3 linked regions of the Macaca mulatta genome follow. The protein of the gene in region 2 purifies or fractionates together with the protein of the main gene of each other region. This does not show direct contact. Links are inferred from orthologs where the notes say so. Each region holds a gene or a part of one and is shown on either strand. Other genes may lie near its edges.

Region 1 (4,457 bases), on a different chromosome or scaffold from region 2:
TAATCCTCACAGCAATCCTAGAAGTAGCTCTATTTTCTCCATTTTAAAGATAAGAAAACTGAGGCCAAGAGAAATTAACTTTCCCAAGGCTATAACTAGCAAATGGGAATTAGGATTTGAAGCAGTCTGACTTCAGGACCCATGCTATTAATCACCATGTTAAACTATACCCCCATAAGAAAATATATCATGTGCCAGGAGACACAAGGGTAAGTAGATAGATCTCAACTTAAACTAAGTTCCATAGTGATAAAGTAAAAACGACTTGCATCTACAGCAAAGGAGATATTATTCAGGAAAAAGAAAACTGTATACTGTTTTGGGTACATTTTGCTTACAGAAATAGCATAGAAGATAATTTTAATTTTCTATGTGTGTTATGATATGGTTCAAGCAAGAACATATGTTTCTGCAAACTATTTGAATTTCTGGATTTAACTTGCTCAAGAATATTAAAAAAAAATCTTACTTAAAAAAGAATGAAGATAAAAATTGAAAGCAAATATGTTTAGTACTTTGATTTTTACTCACTGCTTACTCAGTTCCCTAAGTCATCAAGTGTCTAATTCTGCTTTTAATTAAATGCACTATTTGTAAAATCCTGAATAAAAATTCTTCTAGACATATGGACAAGTTCCGCCTGTCCAAATTGTGCCTGCCTAATCCTGCCTTTTGGAAGAAAGTCTCAAAAGTTTCCAACTACCTTACAATAAGCTGATGTCCTGAGGGTATCTCTGTTGGTCAGTGTAAATCAAATCACTCATAGAAGATGAGAATACATCTTTAATTTCATAACCAATAAATCAATAAAGAAAATGTTGGCCAGGCGCGGTGGCTCACGCCTGTAATCCTAGCACTTTGGGAGGCTGAGGCAGGCGGATCACGAGGTCAGGAGATCGAGGCCATCCTGGCTAACACGGTGAAACCCCGTCTCTACTAAAAACACAAAAAATTAGCCGGGCGTGGTGGCAAGTGCCTGTAGTCCCAGCTACTCAGGAAGCTGAGGCAGGAGAACGGCGTGAACCCGGGAGGCAGAGCTGTCTCAAAAAAAAAAAAAAAAAAAGTGAATGCCCTAAATATTATAGTTTATATCAAATTTCTCAAAGGCCCCAAGGACCAATGTTCAACATTTGCTGGCTCAGGCTGGTTAACAGTAAATATTTAAGGAGCACCTACTATGTACCAGGGACCATGCTTATCTACTTGTTATACAGACAGTGGCAGTCTAAAACAATTTGAACTCGCATCTTCTGAAAGTTCAAGTATACAAACCGGAAGCTTAAGCTCCAATACATAACTTTCCCTTTATAGTATATCCAAAAAAGCTATTACCAGAGCTTCTGCAATCTACAACCAACCAAATACGTTAAGAAGAGACTACCGGGGCACTTAGCATGTCCTAGAGTACAAAATTAGTCTTGGGTTACAATGGTACATTCTGTTCTCTGGAGCTTTATACCACGAAAATTTAGCACTTCCCCTAAAGTGACTCCTTTTCCTCAAAAATCAATTGTTTTAAAAAGTAAATTTCTATTGCTTACAGAAACCCCTACTCCTACTTATTCATCTCTAATGGAAATACTACCCTAGAAAATACTAATAATGAAATGTGGCTTGATTTATTAGTAAGCTAATGCCAGGATTCTTTGTATGATTTACTGAGCCTCTCAAAAATTTTAAAACTCATGTTGAGTAAAACACATCCGACTGCACAAAAAAAGCCACTTAAAACGACTATCAGATAATATAAACAGTAATTCCTGAAACCAATGGTTTTGCTTTGAAGAGGCCAAAATGGATACAACAGCCACCAGAAGTCTACCACAGTCTTTACAGTAAATATGTCCAACTCTGTAACTTATCCTAAGGTAACTATTCCAACTGCACATCATCTATAGCAACTGTTCAGCACTCTCCAATGTGTAATCTCTTGTTCACTATATCTTCTGCTACAAACCTCAAACAAATCATTCTTTAAATTTCTTTAGCTCACACCATTTCCGATCCTTTTATAAAAACAGAAGGCGTTATAAAACCTTGAAAATAAAAATGATAGAAAGCGGTGGAAAGGTAGAGATGGCCTCTGCACCCAAACTCTTTTCCTTTATACTTGATAATTTGTCATTTATCTCGTCTACCTACCTTCATGTTCCTGGATAATCCAGGGTTCCTCCAACAGTTCAAAAGGCTCTCTCATTAACAAATGTCAACGTCCTTATGTGACCATTCTGTTCCAGTCTCTATACCATCCATTCAAGCCTCCTAGCTTTATCCTGCCAAAGAACCACGACGCTCCAATCTCACAAACCATTACCAACACGCTCCAACCCAATGTAAAACCTTCCCGAGTATCAACTCTTCCTTTATGAGCTTTTCCCATATTCCTACTCCCTCAATATCCTACCTGCCCATACTCCCAAGTCTCTCTGCTAAACGCAATTCCAGTCCGGAGTCACACCCTCTATAGCCTAATTCCCGCAACCCCAAAACCCCACCCCCCTCATCACGCCCTCTGGGGCCTCAGCTATGAACCCCAACACCCCGCCCCACACCCGGCACGCCCTCCAGATCCCTTTAGAGTCCTTTTCGTCGGCCCGACTAGACCCCGTTCAGGCCTTCCAAGCGCCTAGGCTCTCCCGACCACCACTCAGTCCCCGCCTCCAGCCCCTCACCGAGTAGCAGCAGCTTCACTTCTTTGGCCGCTTTTTCCCCGTCCTCCCGTAAGTTGCGGTCGATCATCTTGCTTCGCTCCACTGCCGCCTTGTCTTCGGCGCTCAACGTGCAGCCCATGGCGGCGGCGGAAGAGGGGACACCTGCCCGGGCTCACTCACACACCGCGGGAACTGCGGCTCGGCAGGTTAAGGTAGCGTCTACTGCTGGGCGGCGGCCCTCTCCGTCAGCTCCCTTAGCGCCCTGAAGAACCGGATATCCGGCGTTTACGACACTTCCGGCGACGCCCCGCAGCCTTCACTGTTTAAACCACTCTCCTCGGGGAGAGGAGTTGAGACCGAAAGCGGAAGTCACGGGGACCTGGCGGCTAGGTTGGGCGGCGGATCTATAGTTTCGAGGTTCTGTTAAGTTCACTGCCCGCCGTCCAACTTGAAGCCTCATTTACCTTTCGGCTACCTGATTTGGATAAATGGAGAAAAACCGGGGCCTCCAACAAATAATGCCCTCCCGCGTTCAAAATGCCAGTTTTGGGGCGGAGATGTCTAAATTAAAGCCTACATCCCGCGCGGGAATTTCTGCTGATAATTTCTCTGCTGTTAGAAAACTCCTTTGATCTCTTGCTCTGGAGACTCGGGGCCCCTACCCAAGTTTGGGACACTGCCTCTGTTGGGGTTGTATCGGATCAATGGAATGGGAACAAGCTGCCCGGCCTGGGCGCCGTTCACGTCTCACATCTGAGACCGTAACACCGACTGTGTTCAGGACCTTAGCAATATCTTTTTGCCCTCTCTGGCCCACTGACTCCTCTCAAAATGTCCCCTGGTCCTTATACCTTTCACGTTTTTTTGTGGGCTTGAGATTTGCTTAACTCCTATGTTGGCAAAAGGCCACATGAAATCACTAGCAGATACTCGATGACCTTAAAGTTAAGCCTGTAGTTCCTCCATAAAATTTCCATGCTGCCCTTCTCTCCAGTATAATTCATATCTTCCTACCTTAGGGTCTTAGAACTAAAACCAAGATAAGTCAACTTCAGTTCCACACCCTGAAACAAACCAATGCATCCTGTGAATCTCCTATTAAAATTTCCTGTTGCGATTACATACAAAAGGAGAAATTCTAGTAAAATTTGCCTCTCAGCCCTATTCTCACCTGAAACTTAAGTCCACTGTGAAAGCCCCAGGCCGATAGCATCTTTCACTAATAACCCTGGATACTGCGTGAAGGTAGTCGTAAATGAACTTTTCAGGCAAATAAGCCCATAATTACTATACATTCTAGGGAAGGGAACTCAGTCCCTAAAACCTTTCCCTGTGATTGTAAATTACTTTCTTTCTCTAATAGAATCTGAACTTGAGAATGTAAGGTCCCAACAGAGAGGGCTATATAGTGATGATTCATTAATTAGAAGGATTTAATTAGAGGATTAGAGCCACTTTAAAAAGCCTCGTCCACCATAACTCTTAGCAATGCCAATTCTTCAAGGTTTGAATAGTCCCCCAGTCATTCCCAAATGACTGTTAGAATGAAAGGGACCGCTTTTCCATTATCAATACTTTTGGGGAAAAAGGGCAAGAGGAAAGGGAAGTAAAACCAATATTTATTGAGTACCTATTTGCCAGATATGGCTAGGTGCTTCCACATCCCATCTCTTAATCCTCACAACAACCCTGTGAGGTAGGTAATAAAGATCCCCATTTTTACAGGTGAGGAAGTAGGCTCAGAGAAATTAAGCAGCTTTCCCAACTTCACACAGTGAGTAAGTAGATCTCTCTGACCCCAGAGTT
Region 2 (4,467 bases):
TTTTGTATTTTTAGCAGAGACGAGGTTTCACCATGTTGGCCAGGCCAGCCTCAAACTGCTGACCTCAGGTGATCCACGCGCCTCAGCCTCCCAAAGTGCTGGGGTTACAGGTGGGAGCCACCACACCTGGCCTTTTTTTTTGACAAGATTTTGCTCTGTCACCAGACTGGAGTGCACTGGTGCACTCATAGCTCACCAAACCTCAAACTTCTGAGTTGAAGAGATGCTCCCACTTTGGCTTCCCAAAGTGCTAGGATTACAGGCGTGAGCAGCCGTGCCTGGCATACTTATTGTAATTTTTTTTTTTTTGGAGACAAAGTCTTGCTCTGTCAGCCAGGCTGGAGTGCAGTGGCATGATCTCCGCTCACTGCAATCTCCGCCTCCCGGACTCAAGCAATTCTCCTGCCTCAGCCTCCTGAGTAGCTGGGATTATAGGCATGTGCCACCACATCTGGCTAATTTTTGTATTTTTAGTAGAGACGGGGTTTCACCATGTCGGCCAGGCTGGTCTTGAACTCCTGACCTCAGGTAATCTGCCCAGCTCGGCCTCCCAAAGTGCTGGTATTACAAGCGTGAGCAACCGTGCCTGGCCACTTATTGTAATTTTTAATGAACATTTTTATCCTGGTGGGTCACACTTCTTTCCTATTCATCTTATTCAAATCCTTTTCCTACACTTTGTTTTTACTCTTTCAAAAGAGCTTCAGGTTATTTGATATTTTTCTTGGGCTGGCATGAAGTACATGAGGAAAATGAAAATCTCAAGCGTTGAATCTAGGAACACTGTAAGTCTCTCCGTTTATTTAAATTTCCTTTCATGGTTTTCATAAAGTTTTTTCCTCACTGCACACAACTGGTTAGGTCATTTCCTAGCACTTTTACGTTGCTGTCATGTATCCGATCCATCTCAGTGTGCTTTCTGTCTCATTTTTACTGGTACTTACAAAAGTACATACATTTTTATCATCCGCACATATTGATTTTTACATTTTTCTTTGAAAATGTCATTTCATTATCGGAAACGTCTAGCATAATCTTAAATGGTGCAATACACAACGGAAGAGAGTCCTTAGTTTTTTCACATTTTACTAATTATGAGGCTAACCGGTGAGATAGTATTTTATTCCCATTTTGCAGAAGAAGATAAGGGCAGTGGGGCACACAGCTGGGGCACTCGCCCCAATCCCATTTCGCATTTGAGCCCAGGCAGCCTGGCCCTGCTGGGTGTACAGTCCCGCCGCAGAGAAGAAACACGTGAATGAACAGCCTCGCTGTGCGCCCACGAGGAGAGGCCCCTGGGACACAGCTCCCTCCCGCGGCGGCTGGGCCCGGCTTCCCGCACTGGGGCGCTGTCGGCCCGTGGTGCGGGGTTCGAGCCGCGGGCGGGGAGTCCAAGCGGGCTCGCGACGGACACCAGGTGTCACCTGGCCGTGGCGTCCGGTGCGGCGTGGGCGTCCGGGGGCGCGGCGTGGAGGAGCGCGCGGGATGGGGCGTGGGCGCGGGGAGCGCCGGGCGGAGCCTTAAAAAGTGGCCGGGAGGGGGGGCCAGGCGGGCGATGGCCCCGCGGCCGGGACGCGCCCAGGGACCATGCCGGGCAACGGCAGCGCGCTGCCCAACGCCTCGCAGCCCGGGCCCGGCGGGGACGGCGCGCGGCCGCAGCCCTCGTGGCTGGCATCGGCGCTGGCCTGCGTCCTCATCTTCACCATCGTGGTGGACGTCCTGGGCAACCTGCTGGTCATCCTGTCGGTGTATCGGAACAAGAAGCTCCGGAACGCAGGTAGGGCCCGCGCCGCCCCCGGGGCCAGCGCCCCTCCGCCCGCAGCCAGCCTCCCCAGCACCGGGTTCTTGTTTCTGAACACTGCGGGCTCGGAGTCACTTTTCTTATTAGAGGGGACTCTTCCTCCAGCCTGCCCATCGAAAGTGCCTTTTTCTAAGACACGGAGTCGCAGCCCCTAAGAGATGGGACGCTCCGCCAGAGTCGCGTTCTCTTTCCTATGGGGACACTCCCGTCTGGTTGTCCCGTCTGAGTTTTACTAGATTGAGAAGCATCAGGTCCAGGTTGCAGAAAGCTCCTCAAGCAGCCTCTGCAACGAAATGATCAACTGCTGGGTCTTACATGGGACTTAGTTTTCCTAACATTGTTAAAATATGGAAACACAGAAGCTGGCAAAATGCTGGAGCAGCCGCAGTGGTTTTGTTGTTCAGAGTAGTCTGTCGTTAGGAGCCTACAGTCGAAAAAAAGGCCCCTAAACATGCTGTGTCCGGCAGGCCGCGGCTCCTCCAAGTAAACAAGTTGACACTTTAAAAACAGAAGTTGTTGTGTTAGAGGAGGCAGGTAGCCAGGCGTGAGCAGAAAGAGTACACTTACGTATCATATGCAACTGCAGATAATTTTGTGCTTGAGTTAAACTTGCTTTTTCCTCCAGCAATGCATTGAACTGGTTTGTTCTGGGGGGAACCTGTGGACAGTTTGTTCTTAGGATACTGGATGTTCAGACCTCTAAGTGATGATTAGATGCTTGGTTCTCTGAAGAAACTAGTTTTTTATTTGGAGGCACTTTTGGGAGAAGGTGTGGGGAAGGAAACATGCACTTAAATGTCTGCCAAGATCAATATTTTTGTTTTAACTAGGTAGTTAAGAAAAGCTCTAATTTTGTTTAGCTCCTTTTGGGGGGACTCACCCCTGCCTCTCCCCACCCCCCGTAATGCTTTTGCAGTTTGTAATTTGAGAATTAGTTAGTTAGGCACCTAGTAACATGAATTGAGTTTGAGTTTGTAAATAGAATAAGCTCACTTCGTAGGTGACTGATATAATAACTGGAGGAATTCTGCTTTCCAAAAGAGGCTCATTCCTTCCTACCCACAAAAACGCCTTTCTCTGGACCAAACAGGTTGGGAGCACTGGGTTAACTCATCCCAGGGCATCCTTGTGGTGTGTTCTTAACTCACCTTACAGAGGAGAAACTGGGGCTGCAGGTTGTTCACAGGGACTGGAAGTGTGAGCAGGGCTGAATTCCCAGAGCTGGCCTCCAGAGCTCGCCCTGCTTCCTTGCTGTCAACAACTGCAGCACTTGGGAAGTTTGAATCCTGCAGAACCTTTCAGTTAAAAAGTGTTCACCGCCCAGGGTGGTGGCTCACGCCTGTAATCCCAGCACTTTGGGAGGCCAAGGTGGGTGGGTTGCCTGAGGTCAGGAGTTCGAGAACAGCTGGCCAACATGGTGAAACCCTGTCTCTACTAAAAATACAAAAAATCAGCTGGGTGGTGGCACACGGCTGTAATCCCAACTACATGGGAGGCTGAGGCAGGAGAATCGCTTGAACCTGGGAGGTGGAAGTTGCAGTGAGCAGAGATCGTGCCATTGCACTCCAGCCTGGGCAACAAGAGTGAAACTCCATCTCAAAAAAATAAAAAGTAAAAAGTGTTCTCGCCTGAACAATTTTACTTCTTGTGTTTTCTGAAAAAGAACTTAAGAAAATCGCTCCTTACACACACTTTGTATTTTATTTGCTAAGACATACTCTTAAGAGGACAATCCATAAAATACTACATTCCTGTCGCTTTAAGGGGAGCCCCTTAGTGAGCTTTAATCCACCCAACTTTAGAAGTTTCGTATTTTTATAATAGGGATTTTTTGTTTATATGTGCAGTTCAAGCCATTTGAGAATTTCTGGAATGGATGGTGATTTGAAACAGTGGTAAGGATAGCTGATTCAAATATAAGTTTTGGTATGCTTATTAAAAGTTTTGATGATTTTCAGACCTCCCATTTCAGCTAAATGAATTTTGTTGGCTTTAAGGATGAAATGATGGGAAGAAGAGAATGGAAGAAATGAGAAGGCGAAAGCATCTAGGCTTTGAACCATCACTTTCCTTTGGAAAGTTGGTATAATTGCCGTGATTTCTGCCACCTTCCTCCCCTCAAGGGACTGTGTTGACATTTGATTTCCCAGGGAATAAATTGAAAATGGCTAACAACCTGCATGGCAGGGACACTGGACAGCCACAGCCGAAGTAAGCTGCAACCACTGGCGTCTGTGGTGCCAACAGAATATTCGCTCTACTCGTGTCCACAATTTGATGATAGAAGTGATACTGCCATATCATATCTTCTGAGTAAATTTGATAGCATAATGGAATATTCCTGCAATGGAACGCTGGAATTAGATCTTTGCTGTGCACTTTCTGATTTCAGAAATCAGCGAAGCTAAATACCAAACTTCATTTTCCACATTTGTCGAATTGCAGATAATACCTAACCTTTTAGCCTCATAAGAGTGTTGCAATGACTGTAGTGAAATGGCACATATGAGAATACTTTGAAAAGGATAAAACAAGTAATACTGTGTTGGCTTGTTTGTTTTCTGGGTACACCTAACAAAGGTGTGCTCTGTTTGTTGGAAATCATTGCGCTATAGACCTATGATTCATGCACTTTTCTATATGTACATTATACTTAAATAAAACTT
Region 3 (4,375 bases), on a different chromosome or scaffold from region 2:
ACCTCGCCCGGCTAGTTTTCTGTATTTTTTTTTTAGTAGAGACGGGGTTTCACCGTGTCGGCCAGGGTGGTCTCGATCTCCTGACCTCGTGATCCGCCCGTCTCGGCCTCCCAAAGTGCTGGGATTACAGGCTTGAGCCACCGCGCCCGGCCCATTTTTTTTTTTTTTTTGAGACGGAGTCTTGCTCTGTCGCCCAGGCTGGAGTGCAGTGGCCGGATCTCAGCTCACTGCAAGCTCTGCCTCCCGGGTTCACACCATTCTCCTGCCTCAGCCTCCCGAGTAGCTGGGACTACAGGCGCCCGCCACCTCGCCCGGCTAGTTTTTTGTATTTTTAGTGGAGACGGGGTTTCATCATGTTAGCCAGGATGGTCTCGATCTTCTGACCTCGTGATCCGCCCGTCTCGGCCTCCCAAAGTGCTGGGATTACAGGCTTGAGCCACCGCGCCCGGCTTTTTTTCTTTTTAGATGGAGTTTTGCTCTGTCGCCCAAGCTGGTGTGCAATGAATGGCGTGATCTCGGCTCACTGCAACCTCTGCCTCCCGGGTTGAAGCAGTTCTCTTGCCTCAGCCTCCTGAGTAGCTGGGATTACAGGCGCCCACCACCACGCCCAGCTAATTTTTGTATTTTTAGTAGAGACGGGGTTTCACCATGTTGGCCAGGCTGGTCTCGAACTCCTGATCTCAAGTGATCCGCTCGCCTCGGCCTCCAAAAGTGCTGGGATTACTGGCGTGAGTCCCTGGGCCCGGCCTTTGTTTTTTCTTTTTCGATTTGCTGCAACCCAGAGGGAGAAGGCGGTTTACCGCCTTAAGACAAAGAAAACCGCAGTCCAGAAAGGCTCCCGAGTTCTGTAGATTCCAAAACAAGTTTATTGGACTCATTAACTTTAACAAATGACAAAGACACGCCTCCTCCACCTAACTCGCCCAACTCGCAGAAGCTCAGAGCGCTGGTTCCTGCTCTGTCCTCGAGGGCACCGGATCCCCACCCTCGGGCTAACAGATCCGCCCTCCCGGCTGTCCAGCAACTGAGCTCCCGGCGCTCCGCACCCAATCACAGCCCGGCCCCGCCTGCAACCCGCCCAGTGCCGGGTCCCTGGGTTTGGATCCACCCCTATTGCCTTTGCTCCGCGTGGCCACGCCTGCAGCCGAGGCCCGAGCCTGGGCTGCGCCTCATTCCCCCTTCGCCCCGCCCTCAAGCCAATCACCAGCCTCGAATCTCCTCTGGCCCCGCCTCCAGACCCGCCCCGGCCCAGTCCCGGGCTTGGTTAGCCCAGGCCCCACCCCCGGCCCGCCCCGCCGTCGGTGCGCGGCGGTCGGGAAGGCGCCTCCTGCAGACGCTCTGAACTGCCGACCCGAGAGCTTCCCGCAGAGGGCTGGTAGTGGGAGCGGAGCGGGTCGGGCGGGGCCGGGCGGGGCCGAGCCGGGCCGTGGGCCGTGTGGGGGCCGGGCGGCGGCCGGGCCGGCGGACGGCGGGATGGGCTGCACAGTGAGCGCCGAGGACAAGGCGGCGGCCGAGCGCTCTAAGATGATCGACAAGAACCTGCGGGAGGACGGAGAGAAGGCGGCGCGGGAGGTGAAGTTGCTGCTGTTGGGTGAGGCCGCGTCCCGCACTGGGATCCTTAATTCCCAGCTCGAATCCCCAGACAAGGACTTTGACCTCTCATACTAGGGCTTCGAACTCCCAGACTCGGGCTGTCTGGGACCCCACACCTGGGCCAGGACCAGGGTTGAAAACTCTAGGTTGGGCTAGACCTTCGATCCTGCCCAGACTCTAGACCAGATCCCTATCTCATCCCAGACCTCCAAATCCAGCCAACAGTGCCCCAACACCCGCGGTCCAGTGCCCTGCTTGGCCATCCCCCCTTACTAACCAGCTTCACAGAACTTCAGAGACCCCGCCATCCTTCCTTACACTTTACCCAAACCCCCAGGATGCCCGCCACTTGTTCCCCAACCCTCAGGCTCCACTTGTTTTCCTCATCTGCGCCTTTTATTCCTGTTGGGCATGAGCATCCCGCGGAGCCCCTGCCAGGCCCCCTACCCACTCCCTCCTTCTCCCTCTGTGCCCCATCCCCAGTCTGGAATCTGTGTCTTCCACCTGTGCGTTCTGACCCAAGGAACCTCTGGAATGGGAAACTGCTCTTGAGCCCGCTCTCCAACTGGAACCCCTTCAGCGAGCCCTGCTCCCTGCTTCCTGCCCTCCAGATCCTTCTCTGCAAGCATCACTCCCGAAACCTTCTGCTGATCCTCCACTAAGTCCTCTTACACTCTGGCCTTCCCCAATCCTTCCACCTCTCCTGCACCAAGTGGGCTGGGCTAGGATGAGGGAGCCCCGGATTGGAGAGGGCCTAGGCTGCCTTACGAAGAACCCCCACGGGGCTGGACTGAGGCTCCACTGGTCAAGCTGTGGGAGGGGGCCAGGCCTCAGGCTTCCCAGGGAGGCTCTGCGGGCTCTATGTTTTCCAGTTTCGAAGGCCAGTCTGGGAAGTAGGAGAGAGTGTGGAGGAGTTAGGGTTGTGGTCGCCTCCAAGGCCAGGAAAGATGGTGGCTGCTAGAGGGGTGGGGGGAAGTGGAAGTGGTGAGATAGCCGACATATTGCTGCCCCTGCGGGTGAGCCCAAGAGATCTGCTAGTAGGTGCTGGGCTGCCCACACCCCTTCTGGGCTGCAAGGCCTGGGATGTAGCCACTGAGAGTTCGGGGGCTTGTTGGATCTTGGGACCCTGTGAAGGGGGATGGTGGACTAGCTGAATGAGGAGTTGAGGGGCCAGCTAGGGGTGGGCCAGGGTGCTTCTGAGCATCCCAGCTGGCCTTTTGCAAAGACAGTGGGCCTACTGGCTGTCCCCATCCAACCTCCCACTGGAAGTAGGGGTGGTGCCCAGTGGCAGTCTGATTTTGATTTGGGGGTTTTAGAGTCGGGGGAGGGAGGCCCTTGCAACAGCACAGCACCGTTGTAGGCTGAGTACTGCCTGGGGGGGTGTGGCCCCTCAGCTTCAGAACTGTCATGGGGCTCCCAGGCTGTGAAAAGCAAGGCTTTTCGTGCTGGGCCTGTGGCCGAGGAACAGCATGTATGTTCATTATGGGCCCATCTGTTGACTGTCCCTGCGGACCTAGCCTCCGGGGCACAGCCTCGGAGGTTTCAAAATGGCATCCGCTTCGCTGCTGCCTCAGGGAGGAAGAGAAGGGGCGGGAAGGGGCGGCGGCCCAGCCTCCTGGGCTGCTTTGCGTTGGGCGCTTGCCTCTTCCTGTCTCTGCTGTGAGTGCGGCAGCGGCAGTGAGTGGGTGTCGACGCGGCGGAATGCCCATCGCTGCTACTGCTGCTGCTGCCCGATGGGCCTGGGGAGGGCACTTCCGGTACCGCTGCCTCCCAGTGCCCAGCCAGGAGTCTCTAGCCAGCCTCTCCCTAGGCTGATTGCAGCTACTGTGGTGACTGAGGAAATGCAAGACTGGACCATAGAGCTGGGGGAACGTAGGGCTTCTGGCTAGTTTTGTGTCCCGACACTAGAAGGGTCCCCGATCCCACCAGACTTGCTCCTTGGAGCCCAGCTCAGCTTTTGGGCTAAGTCAAGTGAGACCCGGCAAGTCCTCCCACACTGGGCTGGCAGCAGCCAGGGAGGCAGGGTCTGGCTTAGCACTTTCTAGCCTGGGGAGTTCACCCTGGGGTCCTGGCCTTCTGGCCTTTGCTTACCCTGTGAAATGGGCTTCCTGGGTTTGGGCCAAAGGAGTATCCCAGCTCAGGGTGGGGAGAACAAGAGCCTCCTGGTGGTTCTTGTTGGGGATGTGGGTTGGGAGTTAAGACCCTGCAGTGTGCTGCAAAGGGCTCTGACTAAGCTCTGCCCGATATTGACGACCCAATCTGCCATGGCTGCCTGGGGAGGGATCCTGGCTTGAGCCATGCCTTTCCCATTCAGGTGCAAGGTGGTGATGGGAGCCCAGCTGTGGCAAGTTCAGAGTTCTGGGCGCCTGTCCCATGTAGCGGGAGACTTTGTCCAGGCAACGGGACTCAGGTTGGGCAACTGCCAGCCTTCCCTCCCAGCCAGAACCACGCCTGCTGCCCTGCCTGCACATCGCCTCCCTCCATCCTGGGTAGCTCTGCCAGCAGGCGGGCACAGTTCTTGTCACCAGGGTAGAGGCTGATGTGGTACACACGGGCAAGAGAGTATTTCCTGGCAGCTTGGTAGGGGGAGCAGATACCAGTCCTGCGCTAGGGATGCTCACCACTCCTACCCAGCTCAATGTGATTGACCAGCTAGGCCCAGGTGGAATCTGGGCACTTAAGGGAAAGGAAGCCAGAGTGTGTGTGAGCGGGGAGAGTCTCTGATTTGGGATGGGCTTGTGTGGACGGCTTCACAGAAAAAGGAGACAGTGTCCACCACTGG

The links.
Region 1: the proteins of MTNR1A (region 2) and GNAI3 purify together in Homo sapiens (tandem affinity purification; 3 studies listed by BioGRID and IntAct, with this or other methods). This does not show direct contact. The link is inferred for Macaca mulatta from reciprocal best matches to the Homo sapiens genes MTNR1A and GNAI3.
Region 3: the proteins of MTNR1A (region 2) and GNAI2 purify together in Homo sapiens (tandem affinity purification; 3 studies listed by BioGRID and IntAct, with this or other methods). This does not show direct contact. The link is inferred for Macaca mulatta from reciprocal best matches to the Homo sapiens genes MTNR1A and GNAI2.

Annotation. Positions count from the first base shown.
Region 1 is NC_133406.1:130,654,994-130,659,450, forward strand, and holds the start of GNAI3 (guanine nucleotide-binding protein G(i) subunit alpha-3), read right to left. Parts: upstream 2,944-4,457; 5' UTR 2,791-2,943; coding exon 2,673-2,790; intron 1-2,672. UniProt on the Homo sapiens protein: Heterotrimeric guanine nucleotide-binding proteins (G proteins) function as transducers downstream of G protein-coupled receptors (GPCRs) in numerous signaling cascades.
Region 2 is NC_133410.1:194,969,390-194,973,856, reverse strand, and holds the start of MTNR1A (melatonin receptor type 1A), read left to right. Parts: upstream 1-1,385; 5' UTR 1,386-1,587; coding exon 1,588-1,777; intron 1,778-4,467.
Region 3 is NC_133407.1:113,709,890-113,714,264, forward strand, and holds the start of GNAI2 (guanine nucleotide-binding protein G(i) subunit alpha-2), read left to right. Parts: upstream 1-1,343; 5' UTR 1,344-1,473; coding exon 1,474-1,591; exon of another isoform or gene 1,592-1,912; intron 1,913-4,270; exon of another isoform or gene 4,271-4,375. UniProt on the Homo sapiens protein: Guanine nucleotide-binding proteins (G proteins) are involved as modulators or transducers in various transmembrane signaling systems.